Linked DNA regions of Oryzias latipes. The protein of the gene in region 3 interacts with the protein of the main gene of each other region in a pairwise test. Links are inferred from orthologs where the notes say so. Each region holds a gene or a part of one and is shown on either strand. Other genes may lie near its edges.

Region 1 (5,078 bases), on a different chromosome or scaffold from region 3:
TCTAAATCTGGACCTAGGAGAGACAAGCAGATAAAGGCTGAACCTGAATTGTCAAGAGTTGATTCACACTATACTGCAGAAGCAGAGCTACCTACAAAGACTAGAATTCCTTCACCCAGGTACAACCCTCTCCTAACTACATTGTGAATACCAACAGAAGGCTACAACTTTGTGTTTTATTCAAACACGGGAATACTAGTAGTGATGTATTTGACCCATGTGTCTACAAGAAGGATGACGCGAGGCAAGCGAAGTCTCAGGACAAAGATTGTGCCAATGAAGAGAAGTCTGTCTGGACAATGGACTTGCAAGCTCCTGTGTCCACTGGCGCTCCATTTATGCTTTCCCTGCCAGCATCTTACACCCTGCAGTTATGTGCTGGATTGTTTCAGGTGCCTCTTTTCACAGCCTACACCTTGGGACTTGTCTGGTTTGGTAGATCTCAGCCTCTATTGCTCTGGTGCTCAGGGCTTGTTCCTGGGCTGCCAGGATGAGTGCTTCAGTGCTGTCCTATAGGCCAGCCCTTTCTAGCCATTGGTAGGACTTCTAGATATCAGCCACTTCAGTTATGGTCCGGTGGTACATCCCATGCAGGGGTTTGTCCTCCCAGGAGAATCTGTCCTCCAGCACTGTATCCTCTGCTCTCCATTGCCTGAGACATTCACTGAGCACACTGTCAGTTGGGGCCTTGAGCTTGATGTACTCATGCATCTTGGATGTTTCATCCTGGATATTGGCTTCTACACTCACTAGTCTTCGGCCTCCTCGGCTAGCATACAGTCACAGGGTGCTGGATTTGGGATGGAACCCTCCAAGCATGGTGAGGAGCTTTCGTGATTTAACATCCGTGGTCTGTATCTCTTCCTTTGGCCATCTTATTATTCCTGCAGGTAATAATATACAGGAACATGTGTGCAGAATATGAACTGGAAACCCCAAGGTCAAAATGGGAAACACCTCCGAAGGTGGTAGAGAATGAGAGGGCAAAGATCCTGTGGGACTTCCAGGTCCAGACTGATAGGATGGTAACGGCGAACCAACCAGACATTGTAGTGGTGGATAAAGAACAGAGGAAAGCCGTTGGGGTGGATGTGGCAGTACCAAGCGATGGGAACATCAGGAAGAAGGAACCTGAGAAACTGGAGAAATACCAGGGACTCAGAGAAGAACTGGAGAAAGCATGGAAAGTGAAGGTGACAGTGGTGCCTGTAGTAATTGGAGCACTCGGGGCAGTAACCCCCAAGCTGGAGGAGTAGCTACAACAGATACCTGGAAAGACCTCAGACCTCTCAGTCCAGAAAAGCACAGTGCTAGGAACAGCTAAGATACTGCAGGACCCTCAAGCTCCCAGGCCTCTGGCAGAGGACCCGAGCTTGGAGGATAAACCACCCGCGGAGGGTGAGAAGGGCGTTTTTTTTTATATAGATGTCAACCTTCACCAATATTTAGATTTTACTGTCAAAGATGTTATTTGTCTAATCCATTAAAAAACAAAGTATTTGGAGTTTGAAGAAGTCTGTCTAAACACTGTATGAAAAATGAGCTGAGGTTTGGTAAATGTGTTCATTTTTAATTCAAATCTATTTTAATAAAAACTAAATCTTTAAAAAAATAAAGTATATGACATGTATTCAAGAAAAGGATTTTACTTATCAATAACCAAATAAAAAACTGATGCAAACTGATAATAGAAGACGACAATAGTCAAGCAACAACAACGATAATAATAATAATAATAATAATAATAATAATAATAATAATAATAATAATAATAATAATAATAATAATTTTAAGAAAATTTATTTTGGTTAAACCGGAAACACATGCCCTGATTTGTGACGACATTCTGCATAGCAACAGAGGAAGATTTACGTGTCCTCGACTCGAGGCGCTCCTCAAAGAGACGCTTGTAGCCTCAGTTAACCCTGGTTGTTCGCACTGCTGACGCTACAGTTTTGACTGTTTACTTTCCTCTACAACAGGACACCTGCCGATTTATAAAATGTCCAATAGTGAGGTAGGTGCAATTGAAAACGTTATATCTTCCTTTTTTATTTTACATTTCCCGTATGTTCATTGCTGTTTAACCAGCAGCTCAGCTGTTTGCTAACATAACAAACGATCAACCTGGTTCTCCTTTGCCGAAATCCGTTTCTGTGGCTAAGAATTAACCGCCTAAAGTAACATGAACGGGTTTAGTGTGCAGTCATTGTGTTAATTTGTCGCGTTTGTCTTGAAGGGAAACAAACTTTGGGGAGGCCGTTTCGTTGGAGACACGGACCCAATCATGGAGAAGTTCAACGCTTCCATCGGTTACGATCAGAGGATGTGGGACGCAGATATCAGAGGAAGCAAAGCTTATGTCAAAGCGCTGGAAAAAGCGCAGCTGGTCAGCAGTGAGGAAAAGGAGCAGATCTTACGTGGGATGGATCAGGTGAAGTAGTCTGTTGTTGTTGCTGCTGGCTCCATCACTGAATCAACCGGTCCTGAGGATTCATTCATTCATTCATTCAGTTGTGGTTGTAGTGCAGCGTTATTCTCTCTCTTTGAGCCAGACAGGGCACTTTTTCCTTGATAAAAATCACAAGGCACATTACCAATTAAATATGTAAAAATGAAATAAAATCAAAGTTATGTTTTGTCAAAGCGTCTTGAATAAGAATCAAATAAACAGAAATAAATCAGTCTTTTTTTATATCCACCTACTCGGTGTGAAAACAGGACCTATTTGGATGACATTCTGGCAATTTCTTTAGTTTACTAACAATTAACCGATTTGTCATTTTATCCAGCCAGATTGATCTATCTTAATTAACTTATTAATCAAATCGACTTTACGTTAAAAATAATTTCGAAATGAAATAAACAGATTTTTAATCGATCTTGGAGAGTAACATTTGGACTGAGGCGTGGTAGGTTTATTTTTACTTTAAGGTAAAATGACTGTCATTACACTGGTCAACACATCAAAAAATGATCAAGCTATCATTCCAGTCCAATGTGTGAAAACAGTGAGACATGTGAGACATGTGACCATACAGTGTGGTATCATGACTTTATCATGTGGAAAAACAACAGTGACTTTGTGAAACTAAAATGTGAATTGATTAATGTGTTTATCTGTCTGTTAGTTCACATATTTAATTTAGACTTGATTATCTTGTAAGAAATTCACTAAATCTGGAAATCTTCACCTGCACTGTTCAGTACCCAGTTATTTCTCAGAGTCCCACTGGTTGAATCTTTGGCTAAAGACGTCCCTAGATTGATTTTAGGTCAGTGAATTGGATTGTTCAAAATGAACCGATATTAACTATGAATCGTATCGTCAATTGCACATTATGATATGAATTAAATAGTTGTTAAAATGAATTGTTATTTCCCTGTGTTTGTCACATTTATTACTCAAATGAGGTGCATTAGTGCATCGCTGCATACTCTGGTGGTTAGGCAATGACAGCTGTCAAAATGCCGTGGTGTAGCATTCCTGCATTCTGCTGAGTGTCGTTATGACAGCAGCACCTTCAGATTCAACCAGGGCAGGTTTCAACATGTCCTCTCCAGCCTACTGTTCTGTTTTACAAGTCAGCAGTTCAGTACACTGTTTCCCTTCAACTTTTAAACACAAACATTTGTTTTTTCCAGGCTTTGTGTTAAAACCATCTCTCACGGCTCACAGGTTGAAAAACACTGGTTTAGTGCATCACTGCATACTCTCAGGTGGTTAGGAGATGACCGCAGTAAAAAATGCCCTGTTGTAGCATTCCTGCATTCTGCTGGGTGTGTTGTGGACAATACTGTCATCATGTGACAGCTGCAGCTTCAGTTTTATTCAGGGCAGGTTTGAACATGTCATCTCCATCCTACTGTTCTGTTTGGACAAGTGAACAGTTCCATAGACTGTTTCCCTTCAAACCCAAACATTTGTTTTTTGATTACAGGCTTTGTGTTAAAGTCCACTTAAAGTGACCATCTTTGATGTTTCCCCCCCCCCCTGCAGATTTCAGAGGAGTGGTCTAAAGGTAACTTTGTCATTAGACCTGGAGATGAAGACATTCACACTGCCAATGAACGCCGGTTGAAGGTGATGTGCAGCTGTCCATTGCATACATCCTGTTCACACACATCTGCCATTGAGCTTTTACACAGCCTGCTGTGAGTTACTCCACTAATGTCTAAGCGAAAGTCTGGATGTTTGTTAAACTAAAAACCCATGTTTTCAATGTAAACGTTACTTTATGACGTTTGCTTTATGAAATGTGTACAATATTAATTATGCTGTTGCCCTTTTTTTTCAGGAGCTCATTGGTGCCCCTGCAGGAAAACTTCACACAGGCAGAAGCAGAAATGATCAGGTTTTATTTTAGTTTATTCATGTTTTTATTGTACCTTTTAGGTTTGTTTAGCATATAAATTCATAGAAAAGCTTTAGAGTTGCACTTTGTGTTCTGGTGGACCAGGTGGTGACTGATATGAGACTCTGGATGCGAGACGCCATCACCACCCTGACAGAAAATTCTCTCCAGCTCATCTCGACCATGGTGGAGCGGGCATCCGTGTAACTAAGACCGACTCGCAAATGGAAACTCATCTTCTGTATATTATTACTGAAACTGTTGGTGTTAACCTGCATTTCCTGGTTCCATCACAGGGAAATCGAGGTTCTTTTCCCCGGATACACCCACATGCAGAGGGCTCAACCAATCCGATGGAGCCACTGGATTCTAAGGTGACTCTGAAGTCTACATCTACACGCCCTTTTTTTTAAAACTATTTTAATTAATTAAATTCTTTGGTACGTGTTTCCACAGTCATTCTGTCGCTCTGAGCAGAGATGTGGACCGGTTACTGGAGATCAAGAAAAGAGTTAATGTCTTACCTCTGGGCAGGCACGCTGTGAACGCGATTTCTGACAGCAGTTTTGATCCGCTGACATACTCAAGTAACAAAAAAAACTATTTCTTTTTCTTTCAGTGGTGCGATTGCAGGGACGCCGCTTGACATTGACAGGGAGCTTCTTCGGAAAGGTCAAGGCTGCTGTGTTTTTTATGTTTAATTGCTGCTTATTTCTTTAGAAC
Region 2 (5,255 bases), on a different chromosome or scaffold from region 3:
GTGGAGCTCATGGCAGTCTGCTTCAAACAAAAGTTATATATCTTTAGATTTATATATAGAAAAAAATACCTTCCCAGATAAAAAAGACAGATCTTCTGCTCCGAGAATGTGAAGATCTTCAGTTGACTGGTCATTCTGGGAAGAAAAACATGTTTATTTCAGGAAGTGTTGCAATACCATCAGCAAGATAAAAAGAAAAAGACAACAAATGCCTTTGTATACTTAAAAAAATGTTACATCTAAAATCTTATGTAATACTGTTTCCTCCACCACAGGAAAACAACTCATTCAAGGTCAAAATGTATAAAAATATCCCTGTAGTATCTATAACACTACAGTCATCTGGCTAGGTCATGGGATTCACAGTCACCATGGATGATAACCACATGCGTGAAAAGCGGCAGGCCACTCCCACACATTTTTAACCCATGATCATTGGATGTCAACATCATCACTTCCTGCCCTGCAGCAGGATGAAAGCTCACCAGGTAACTCTTCAGGCGGATGAAGTGAACTCTCATGGGAATTGTGTGGTCGGAGTTGCAGCTGAGAGCTTTGATCCTGTCCACCAGGTCGGCGCAGAACTGGTAACCTCCTTTCAGCACGCACAGAACCACAATGTCATGGTCGCCCAGGTCATCCATGATGTTCCGAGCCAGGCGCTCCGTCCTTGAAACGACACAACAAAGAGGCTCTGCAGCAGGAGTTCCCAAAGCTGTCCAGGTTATTTCATAAAAATGTGACATCAAATGGCTTTAGAGCCTTTTAAAAAGGTTTTTTGTTTTTCAAATTCCAATTTCTTTTGTATTTTTTCATGAGCGCCAGGAAAAAAAAATCTATTTTTTTAACACATTTTTGCACTTTATGAAGTAGTGTACATCACAAGAGTTTATGTAATTAGGTTTATGCAGGCAGAACAAAGAAATCTATGGGAAGACAGATTGTGAGAGGGGAAAAATAATCCAATCCATTTTTAGGAACTGAGACCATTTTGTTTCATAACCATTTCCTCTTTAGATATTTTATTGTTTAAGAAGACATAATGGAGACATAATGATTCCATTAATAAAGAGTTTCACTAAAGTTCCTAATAGTAATAAATTTACTTGTTTTGTTGTACATTTCCTCATTATTGCAAAGTGTTTTTTACAAAATGTGACACGTTTGAAAAAAAAAACCTCATCTGTAGCAGTTAAGATTAGGTTTGTGCATGGCAGACAAATTAAACATTAGCATCTCTTGAATTTTGTTTGACATACTTTGATTTCTATAGTATTTCATTTGTCACACAAATAAGTTAAAGATATTTGGTAGATTGTAATTTCTGTTAACAAAAAATAGTATTTTTAAGTCTAATACAAGTAGTCTATTCTAAAAGTGGTACTTATATATTTTAATTATTGTGTGATTAAAATTTTCAAATTTAGTCTGTAAAGTATTCAGTTAGTATACTTTCTACACACTCAACATTATACTTGATATACTTATACACAAGTATACTTCATAAAATAGACCTCAAGTGTACGTTTTTTTTTTACCTTTTGCAAAGGTTTATAGCTAAAATGAGGATGGAGTGGTGAAAAGTGAGGAATCTAAACTAAAACTACTTTTTAATAGCAGTTTTTATTTTAGAAATTGTAAACTAATGTAATTAGGATTTTTTTAATAACTTCCTCTACCTTTAAGGTTTACTTTTCTTTCCCAATCCTGAATTCTAGCAGGTTATTTCTAAACAAAGTGAGTAAGCTTTTACTTTTAACAGATTTCTTTGTTTTAAAAGCCTAAAAACGTTAAAGTTCCCCTCTGATCCCCTTTTGATCTATTTTCAAAGTGTTCCCTTGTTTTTTTTAAAATCATAAATAAAAAAAAACGTCTTTTGTTATCTAGGACATAGTTTCTGCAGAGCAGCAGTAGTTCATGTGAAGTTTACTTCTGAGTGACCACTGGCACAAAGCAGGCCTACCCTTTTCCCACCATCCCTTTTGTTTACACTCTCTCCCACTGGCTTACAGCCCCTCACAACCCCATCCTAACATTTTCAGTCCAACAGAAATGCAGAGCACTATTGCAGCCGTGCAGTTTTTGTACCAGATTCCAGCTCAGACAAGGAGAACAAAGACGTGCATGGATCTATTTGTCTTCAAGTGGATGCTTTAGAATGGAGCAGAAGTATGTGAGCTTGTGGCTTGCTGTCATAGGCCCTACGTCACACCTACAAGCTTTTTACAACTGCATTTTTGTTTGCTCCTGATACACAATGATTTGAATAAAGAAATACTCAGAAATGCAATTTTAAGCTTACATCTTCCGTCAGGAGAAAAATGCTGTTGAACATGTTAAAAACACTTTTTTTTTTTTTTGGAGTGGTTGTTTAAACTGTTGGAAAAACAGTTTATTTCTTTTGGAATTGGTGTCACATTAGGAACATGCATGTGTGGAATGAGGAGCAGGGCTGTTCCCTTCAAATCATATGTGAAAACTTGTCTGGCAGTGCCATCCCACACATGCATGTTCATTTTAAATGCTGCCCTATGGAAAAAGAAAATCTACAACAGTTTAAGGATTATTGTAAAGGTGATCTACATAAAACAAACTTTACTTTTGGTGCATTTTACTACACAGGAATTAGATGGCATCCTATAAAATCTTTGGAAGACACATGGAGCTATGATGTAACCTCACAGAAGGCCAAACATCTGGGAGGTCATCTGACAGGCCTCCAGAGTTTTGTACCTATCCATGATGACGCCATGCGGAATGATGACGCAGTCCAAGTCTCCGTAGTAGTGCGCTGGGTAGCTGAAGAGGTCCAGGCTGTAACCTGGCCAGTCGTCGTGAATCTGAGAGGAAACGCAGCAGAAAGCATTAGATCTTCAGTCTGCATCTTTGCAAGTTTACTGTATTTTTAGTTTTTTAAAGGTGCAAACTTCTACAGTCTACACGTGGCGCCACCCCCTGCAAAACTGCGCAAACGCGTTCATTCACTTCTTCGTTTCCTCTCGTTAAATTACCACAATGCCCTCGCTTTTGCTCTCGGCCCGGACAGAAACTTCAGCCATTTTGAAGAAGAAGAAAAAAAACCCGCTCTCGTTTCAACCAAAGTGCTGCGAGTCTGTGCGGAGGGGTTTGACCTGGTCGGGAGGAGGATCTGCGCGGGGGAATGTGGAGCACTATTGTGAAACCATCCGGGAGTCCCTGCCCCTCTGCAGTGTCACATGCGGCCACCAGGGGCGCTGTGACACCACAATTCCTCAGAATGGAGCGGCCGAGTCAAGAGAACACGCTTTCTTATCTTAACACAATAAAAACATTTCTTTCTTAAAAGACCCCAAAAACAAACAGTTACTGCACTAAATTCTTATCACCTAATTTTTAAAATGTGCCCCTGTTATTATTATTTGAATGCCATGTTAACATTGTTTTCATCATGTCTGCAAACAGTTTTTTTTCAATCTGCTTCTTAATTTTTTAGTATTTAATATTAATTTAAACACGTAAAAGAATCTGTTGTTTTTAAACAAATACAACTATAGAATCATCTTTGAGCAGGTTTGATGCTCTTAATTTGACATAAGTCTTCAAAATTCTTCCCTAATATTGGAAATTTTGAATATAAAATTCTATCTATCTATCTATATAGATTCAATATAGATAGATAGACTTTACTCATCCCACAATGGGGAAATTCTCTTATCTTCAGCAGCAAAAAAAAGACATTCAGGAATTCAAACAACCAAAAAAAGGTGGTGTTCACAGAGGATAGTGACCTTCAGAAAAAATATATATATATATATATATATATATTTATATATTTATATTTATATATGTTGTCCCTTCTTTTTACTTTTTAGTAGGATTTACACTTGTATGTAAACTAAAAATATTTACATCAGCATGTAAAAAGAAGGACTATACAAAAATGTTCCCGTTGTACAGAAGATGTAAAATAGTACATTTATGCTTTATTGCCTAGATCTAAATAAATCTTAAAAATTAATTCAAATCTGGCTCCTTAAGTAAAAATAATTGTGTATTTCTTCAGACAAGGCAAGGCAAGTTTATTTGTATAGCACAATTCATACCCAAAGTAATTCAAGGTGATTCACAAAACAGAAAAATACATTAATATCACAATACATCATAGAAATCATCAACGTAAAATTTACTTTAAAAGAAAAGAAAAAAAAATAGAAAATTGATTTAAAAAGAGAGGAAGGAAATGAAAGAAAAGTGCAGATAGGACCTTTCAGTCATATACACGGCTAAACAGAAATGTTTTAAGTCTAGATTTGAACATGAACACAGAAGAGGCCTGTCTTACGACTTCAGGGAGGCTGTTCCAGATTTTAGCTGCAGAATATTGAAACGCTGATTCCCCTTGTTTAGTTCTGACTCTGGGAATCAACAGGAGGCCGGTCCCTGAGGTCCTCAGAGTACGAGATGGTTCATATGGCACTAACATGTCAGAGATGTCAGGACTCGAGCAGCAGCATTCTGGATGTACTGAAGCTGTTTTACAGCTCGTTTGGAGAGGCCGGTGAGCAGGCCGTCACAGTAGTTTAACCTACTGGAGACAAATGCATGAACAAGTATCTCCAGTTCTGGCTTTGACATTATCTTTTTGATTTTGGCAATGTTTTTCAGATGGTAAAATGCAGCTGATGTTACTGACTTGATATTAATTAACATTAGCTGTTGCATCACACTGTGCAATGTGATGGTGTTCTTTGCAAAGCCAGAACACCAAAAGACTCACTAAAAAACTATTTTTTTTGAGTGCTTCTGGGAGCAGTAAATCAAAACATCACAGGCTGCATTTAATTAGTAAAAATCATTAATATTAAGTTGCTTTTTAACTTTCAGATTTGCTTGGCGTGATTTAGGTCGTTTTGTCCCCCAGAAGGAAATTCTGCCCACCTAGATCTCCAAATTGTCTCTAACAAACTCACATCTTTGGGTTAACATCACCATCTAGTGGGAGGAAAAAAAGACAAATTCTTTTTCTTTTCTTTCCCATTTTTTTTTTTTTTTGAAAGAGGGGACATTGTTTCTTTTGTTGTGTAACTTAAAAATCTCAGAATTGTCACATTTGGTTAAAAGCTATTGTGTAATTCTGCGAGGCAAACAAAAAAAGCATGTTGCAAGCCCTGTCTTATGCAGAAAATGTGCTCTGCTTCAGTGTGACAGTGTGTGAATAAGTGAATTGTGGACGAACCACCCAGGGACCTGTGTGGGCAGCATGTCCAGCAGCAGCA
Region 3 (5,020 bases):
AGGAGGAGGAGGTCCTGCGATGTTTGCTGGAGGAGGCTGAAGAGGAACACTGAGGTGATGAGACGCTTTAAATGTTCTAAAGGAAGACCGACTCCCAGCAGGACTTACCGTGGGGAACGTGGACCCTGGCGGGGAGAACATCTGAGGTGGGGGGCTGAAAGAGGTCGGAGCCTGCTGGGGTGTGTGAGGTGGGGGCAGGATCTCTGGAGCTGGAATGTAAGGACTGGCTCTGCTGCTGGACGCCGTGTGGCGGTACGGGTTGTGATGCTGCGGCTGCATCTGAGCAGGAGGCGGGGTCATCGTTGTAGGGGGAGGAGTCTGTCGTCCCAGCGGACTCTGGTAAACAGCACTGCCAAACGTTGAGGGAGGGGGGTTCATTTGTGAAGCTGTGGATGGCGGAGACATGGCGATGCTGCTGGGAAAAGAAACGGGTCCAGCAGCGGTTAAGGTCGAGGAGCGTCCTGCTGGCGGGCATGGTGACTGACCAATACTGGCAAAGGGGTCAGAGGTCGTTACGGGGTTGGAGAAGTAGCTGAAGGTGGAGGAGGCCGCCGGCGGACCGTTGGCCGAGGTCTGACCCAGGAAACTGTCTTCTTCTCCAACGTCAGTAGAGTCTTCTGATGGACACAAAGACGGGTCAACGTTTTCTGACACTGAAACTGCAGGTCAGGGTTTCTGTGAGGCTTCTCTAAACATCAAACTTCAGGAGTGAAGCTTCACCGCCGTCCACAACATTTCCAGCTTTCTCCATATGATTCTAAACTTTTATGAGCACCATGACATCCTGTGTGATCCTTTCCTAAGTGGAAACGATCAAACAGGATGTTATCGAGTGGTTTTCAGGCAATAAGCATGTTGACTTCACTAAAATACATGTATAATATATAAATAAAATAAATCTCTAAAAGACAGATTCCAGCATTTTAACAACAACATTGTTTTAAATCTGAACAAAGTTCATCCATTTACAACTCTTCACTAAAAATGTTTAAACTGACTCATTTTCTTTTAACAAAAGCAGATCCAGTGTTGCAGATAAAACGCGTCACTTTTTCATCTTTTCTCTCAATCTGAGGGTTTTTAAAGGCTGAAGCAGCACAGCTAGCTAACCGGCTAGCTTAGCTAGCTAGCTCTCGCCCTGACAACATTCGGACCTCCGTCCGCGGTTCCGCTCACCTCCTGACAGCACCGCCGGGCCCGACGCCTGACTCACCGGCATGAAAGGCAGGTTAAAGCTAAAGTCTGGAGCGGCACTAAAGAGTAAATTCGCGCTGCTGTCGGGACCACTGTTATTTTTTCTATCTGCCATTTTCAGCTGGATTTACACGTAGCCACAACCGGACCAGGCTGGCAGTAAATGCGAAAGAAACGTCTCCTGACGTCACAGTTTTCCCCGATCTCCAACACTCACGCGACACTAGATTTCAGTAAACATCTTAGCAGATGTTTTATAAATCTTCGAAACATACCCGATTGGCTTGACCCGAGGGGATCAATGTTTTTGGTGCTGCCATCTAGAGGCCCGGATGATGATTCAAACTCCTTTGGTTTTTTTTTTGCACCTTTTTTCTTCTTTTGTCAGAACAAAGTAAAATCTCGTGAGAGATAACAAATTTCTACTTAATTTGTAACGACTTCGGAATCCAAACCAGTTTTTAGGGCGGTGAACAAAAGCAAAAAGTTGCTTGTGGCTCCGCGCTCCGGTTTACTCCGGTTCTCGAATCAAACCAACCCCCTCTTGGTGCGCAGTGACGCAAATTTCGCGCCTCGCTTCTGCAATCCCGAGTGAGTGAAAAACTTATCGGAGAAGTGAAGCCGCGCGGGTTTTCCTCGCACGTTTGTCTTTGATTCCACGGGTTCAGTGGCCGGTTAGCGATGCTTTCCACGCAGGACTGGATTCACGCACCTCTCGGTGTTGTTGAAGAGAAGTTTGGTGAGAAACTTCCCTCCACAAACACTTAACGCCTCAGACTAGCTCGTTAGCCGCGCGCGCGTCCAGCCGCCCTCACATGGAGCTTTTTTTTTTTCCTTTACAAACTTTATTAAATGTAACATTTCAATACACAACAATGCAAAACAGCAACAAGAAAGGAATAAACCAGGTGGTTATTATTACATTTCACACAAAGACACTGAAACTGACGCACTGGTGCCGCTGCCCGCGGTGCATCAGTTTAAAACTTTATTGACACAGTCGGTGGACATAGACGAGAATCGGGCGCGCGGAAACCTTTACTGACTGTAGAAATGTCGTTCGGGGTTCGTCAACTTTTTGTTAGATCTAAAGACGTTTTTGTTTTGTCATACTGGTTCTTTTGAAGTGACTTCATATATACAGTCTCTGATGATGACGAATTCCTTCATGAAGAACGAAACCAACAATCTTGAAGTTCATTAAACATTTACTTTATTTCATTTTTAATGCCAATGTGTTTGTTATTTTAACATTTTTTTTAAACGATCGAATAAAATGACACATTCACACATGTTAATATAAAATGCAAACCGTAGTTTAAACCTTCAGCAGCATTCATTTGCTGCCGGAAATGACGTCTTCCTTTGATGCTGCAGCGGCTGCGCAGAAGGGTTCCTCCCCCGGGTGGGAGGCGGAGGTGGTGGAGTTTTTTAAGGAGCAGCTGAAGGAGAAGAGCGCTCAGAGTTTGGTGAGGAGAGTCCTGCAGACGGCGTCTTCACCGGCCGTCCGGTTCTGACCTTGTCCTTTTCTGGACCAGGTTCCGTCTCTCAACGACGTTCCCCTGCATTACCTGAAGCCCAACAGTTTGGTGAAGTTTCGCTGCTTCATCCAGGACATGTTTGACCCGGAGTTCTACATGGGAGTGTATGAGACTGTGGACGGACCCACGGATGCTAAAGTGAGTGTGCCCCCCCCCCCCCCCCCACATCTCTAGCATCAGCTGACCCCCCTCCCCCTCATTTGTCCTGTTTGACCCCCAGATGCTGCACTGTGGGAAGTACAGGGATGTGGCAGAATGTGGGGTGAGTCTGCATCCTGCTGCTGTCCTCAAAGGTGGTGCAGCCGCTTCAGCTCAGCTGTTGGTTTGAATCCCAGGTGGACTTTAACTCCAAGAACACCGTGACGGCAGAGCGGCAGACCTTCTACTGTGTGCCCATTCCTGGGGAGAACCTGTGGGTGAAGGACATATCCTGGGATCAGGGATCAGGTTCTCTGATGACAGTGTGAACAGTTGTGTGTTGTTCCTTAACCTGAGAGCACGGATATGCGGGCAGCAGCCAGGCGCGCGTGGTGGCGTCCACCTCCTACGTGCCGAGCAGGCAGAAACGCAGCTACGAGGAGGACGAGGACATGGACACGCAGCCGCAGAAGCAAGCTCACGCAGGTGTTTGTCTTCGCCGTCTGCTGGGTGTCGAACCTTAGGCGTCCTCCCCCCTCAAACGTTCTCCAAATATTTCTGCAGGTCTTCAGGGTCCAACGGACCTGCAGAGCAACGCCGACTGTAAGCGTCAAGAGACGGAGGCTCCTCCCACCCAGGCGGCGTCCGCATCCCACCTCGACCTCAACTTCCCCCTCCCAGGAGAGAGGGGCCCCGCCTGCCTGGTGAAGGTTGGAGCTGGACGAGCGCGTTGGTGGCTCCGGTGGGAACCCTGATCCTCAGGCTGTGCTCGTTGGCAGGTGTACGAAGACTGGGAGAGCTTCAAGCTGAACGACGCCCTGGAGGTTTTCGGGATCCTGTCCGTCAGTCCCGCTCTCAGCGCCCTGGCGGAGGAGAGGTGAGGCCCTCGCTTCGTAGCCCCGCCCCCTGTCTGCGTGCTGCCCGTCTCACCGCCTTTCTTCCTCGCAGAGACGCCTCCTCGTCCTTCCTGGACCCCACGGAGGGCATGGAGACGGCGGAGGAGCAGCGTGTGCACAGCCCGCCGGCCTCGCTCGTTCCCCGGCTTCACGTGCTCCACGCCAAACCGCTGCAACACAACAACCCGCTGCTGCCGCACGCAACCTCGGACGACAACGGCGCCTGTAAGGACGCGTGTTTTTGTAGAAACAGAAATGATTCCAGACTAGAAGAAAACGCCGAAACACCAAAACCAGTAAATTCTGTCGCTTCCGTGGAAATTCATCAGCATCACGCAGGAACTCAAGACGTTTGACCTGGAGGACATCTGCCCCCCCCCCTGCTCCACCCTCCTTACACGTCTGCCCCCCCCTTCTCCACCCTCCTTACACGTCTCCCCCCCCCCGCTCCACCTCTTACACATCTGCCCCCCCTGCTCCACCCTCCTTACACGTCTGCCCCCCCCCCTGCTCCACCCTCCTTACACGTCTGCCCCCCCTGCTCCACCCTCCTTACACGTCTGCCCCCACCTGCTCCACCCTCCTTACACATCTGCCCCCCCTGCTCCACCCTCCTTACACGTCTGCCCCCCCCCTCCACCTCTTACACATCTGCCCCCCTTGCTCCACCTCCTTACACGTCTGCCCCCCCCCGCTCCACCCTCCTTACACGTCTGCCCCCCCCGCTCCACCTCTTACACGTCTGCCCCCTCCTCTCCACCCTCCTTACACGTCTGCCCCCCCTCCTCCACCTCTATACATCTGCCCCCCCTGCTCCACCTCTATACATCTGCCCCCCCGCTCCACCTCTTACACATCTGCCCCCCCGCTCCACCTCTTACACGTCTGCCCCCCACCTGCTCCACCCTCCTTACACATCTGCCCCCCTGCTCCACCCTCCTTACACGTCTGTCCCCCCCCGCTCCACCTCTTACACATCTGCCCCCCCTGCTCCACCCTCCTTACACGTCTGCCCCCCCTCCACCTCTTACACGTCTGCCCCCCCTTCTCCACCCTCCTTAACGTCTGCCCCCCCGCTCCACCTCTTACACGTCTGCCCCCCACCGCTCCACCTCCTTACACATCTGCCCCCCCCGCTCCACCCTCCTTACACGTCTGTCCCCCCCGCTCCACCTCTTACACATCTGCCCCCCCTTGCTCCACCCTCCTTACACGTCTGCCCCCCCCCCCGCTCCACCCTCCTTACACGTC

Evidence for each region.
Region 1: the proteins of mcmbp (region 3) and asl interact in binary tests that used the Homo sapiens proteins (3 or more experiments, as listed by UniProt). The two-hybrid records come from large-scale screens. The link is inferred for Oryzias latipes from reciprocal best matches to the Homo sapiens genes MCMBP and ASL.
Region 2: the proteins of mcmbp (region 3) and phosphoribosyltransferase domain-containing protein 1 interact in binary tests that used the Homo sapiens proteins (3 or more experiments, as listed by UniProt). The two-hybrid records come from large-scale screens. The link is inferred for Oryzias latipes from reciprocal best matches to the Homo sapiens genes MCMBP and PRTFDC1.

The regions. Positions count from the first base shown.
Region 1 is NC_019872.2:8,457,795-8,462,872, forward strand, and holds the start of asl (argininosuccinate lyase), read left to right. Parts: upstream 1-1,859; 5' UTR 1,860-2,002; coding exon 2,003-2,017; intron 2,018-2,239; coding exon 2,240-2,434; intron 2,435-4,000; coding exon 4,001-4,084; intron 4,085-4,298; coding exon 4,299-4,355; intron 4,356-4,460; coding exon 4,461-4,558; intron 4,559-4,651; coding exon 4,652-4,729; intron 4,730-4,811; coding exon 4,812-4,889; intron 4,890-4,974; coding exon 4,975-5,027; intron 5,028-5,078.
Region 2 is NC_019875.2:25,188,790-25,194,044, reverse strand, and holds the start of phosphoribosyltransferase domain-containing protein 1, read right to left. Parts: upstream 3,220-5,255; 5' UTR 3,060-3,219; coding exon 3,012-3,059; intron 2,841-3,011; coding exon 2,734-2,840; intron 670-2,733; coding exon 486-669; intron 136-485; coding exon 70-135; intron 1-69. UniProt on the Homo sapiens protein: Has low, barely detectable phosphoribosyltransferase activity (in vitro). Binds GMP, IMP and alpha-D-5-phosphoribosyl 1-pyrophosphate (PRPP). Is not expected to contribute to purine metabolism or GMP salvage.
Region 3 is NC_019873.2:29,884,064-29,889,083, reverse strand, and holds the start of mcmbp (mini-chromosome maintenance complex-binding protein), read left to right. Parts: upstream 1-1,722; 5' UTR 1,723-1,875; coding exon 1,876-1,933; intron 1,934-2,571; coding exon 2,572-2,663; intron 2,664-2,732; coding exon 2,733-2,873; intron 2,874-2,955; coding exon 2,956-2,997; intron 2,998-3,070; coding exon 3,071-3,160; intron 3,161-3,235; coding exon 3,236-3,359; intron 3,360-3,437; coding exon 3,438-3,583; intron 3,584-3,652; coding exon 3,653-3,750; intron 3,751-3,821; coding exon 3,822-3,994; intron 3,995-5,020. Other genes in the region: sec23ip (SEC23-interacting protein), read right to left, coding at 1-36, 109-617, 1,177-1,309. UniProt on the Homo sapiens protein: Associated component of the MCM complex that acts as a regulator of DNA replication.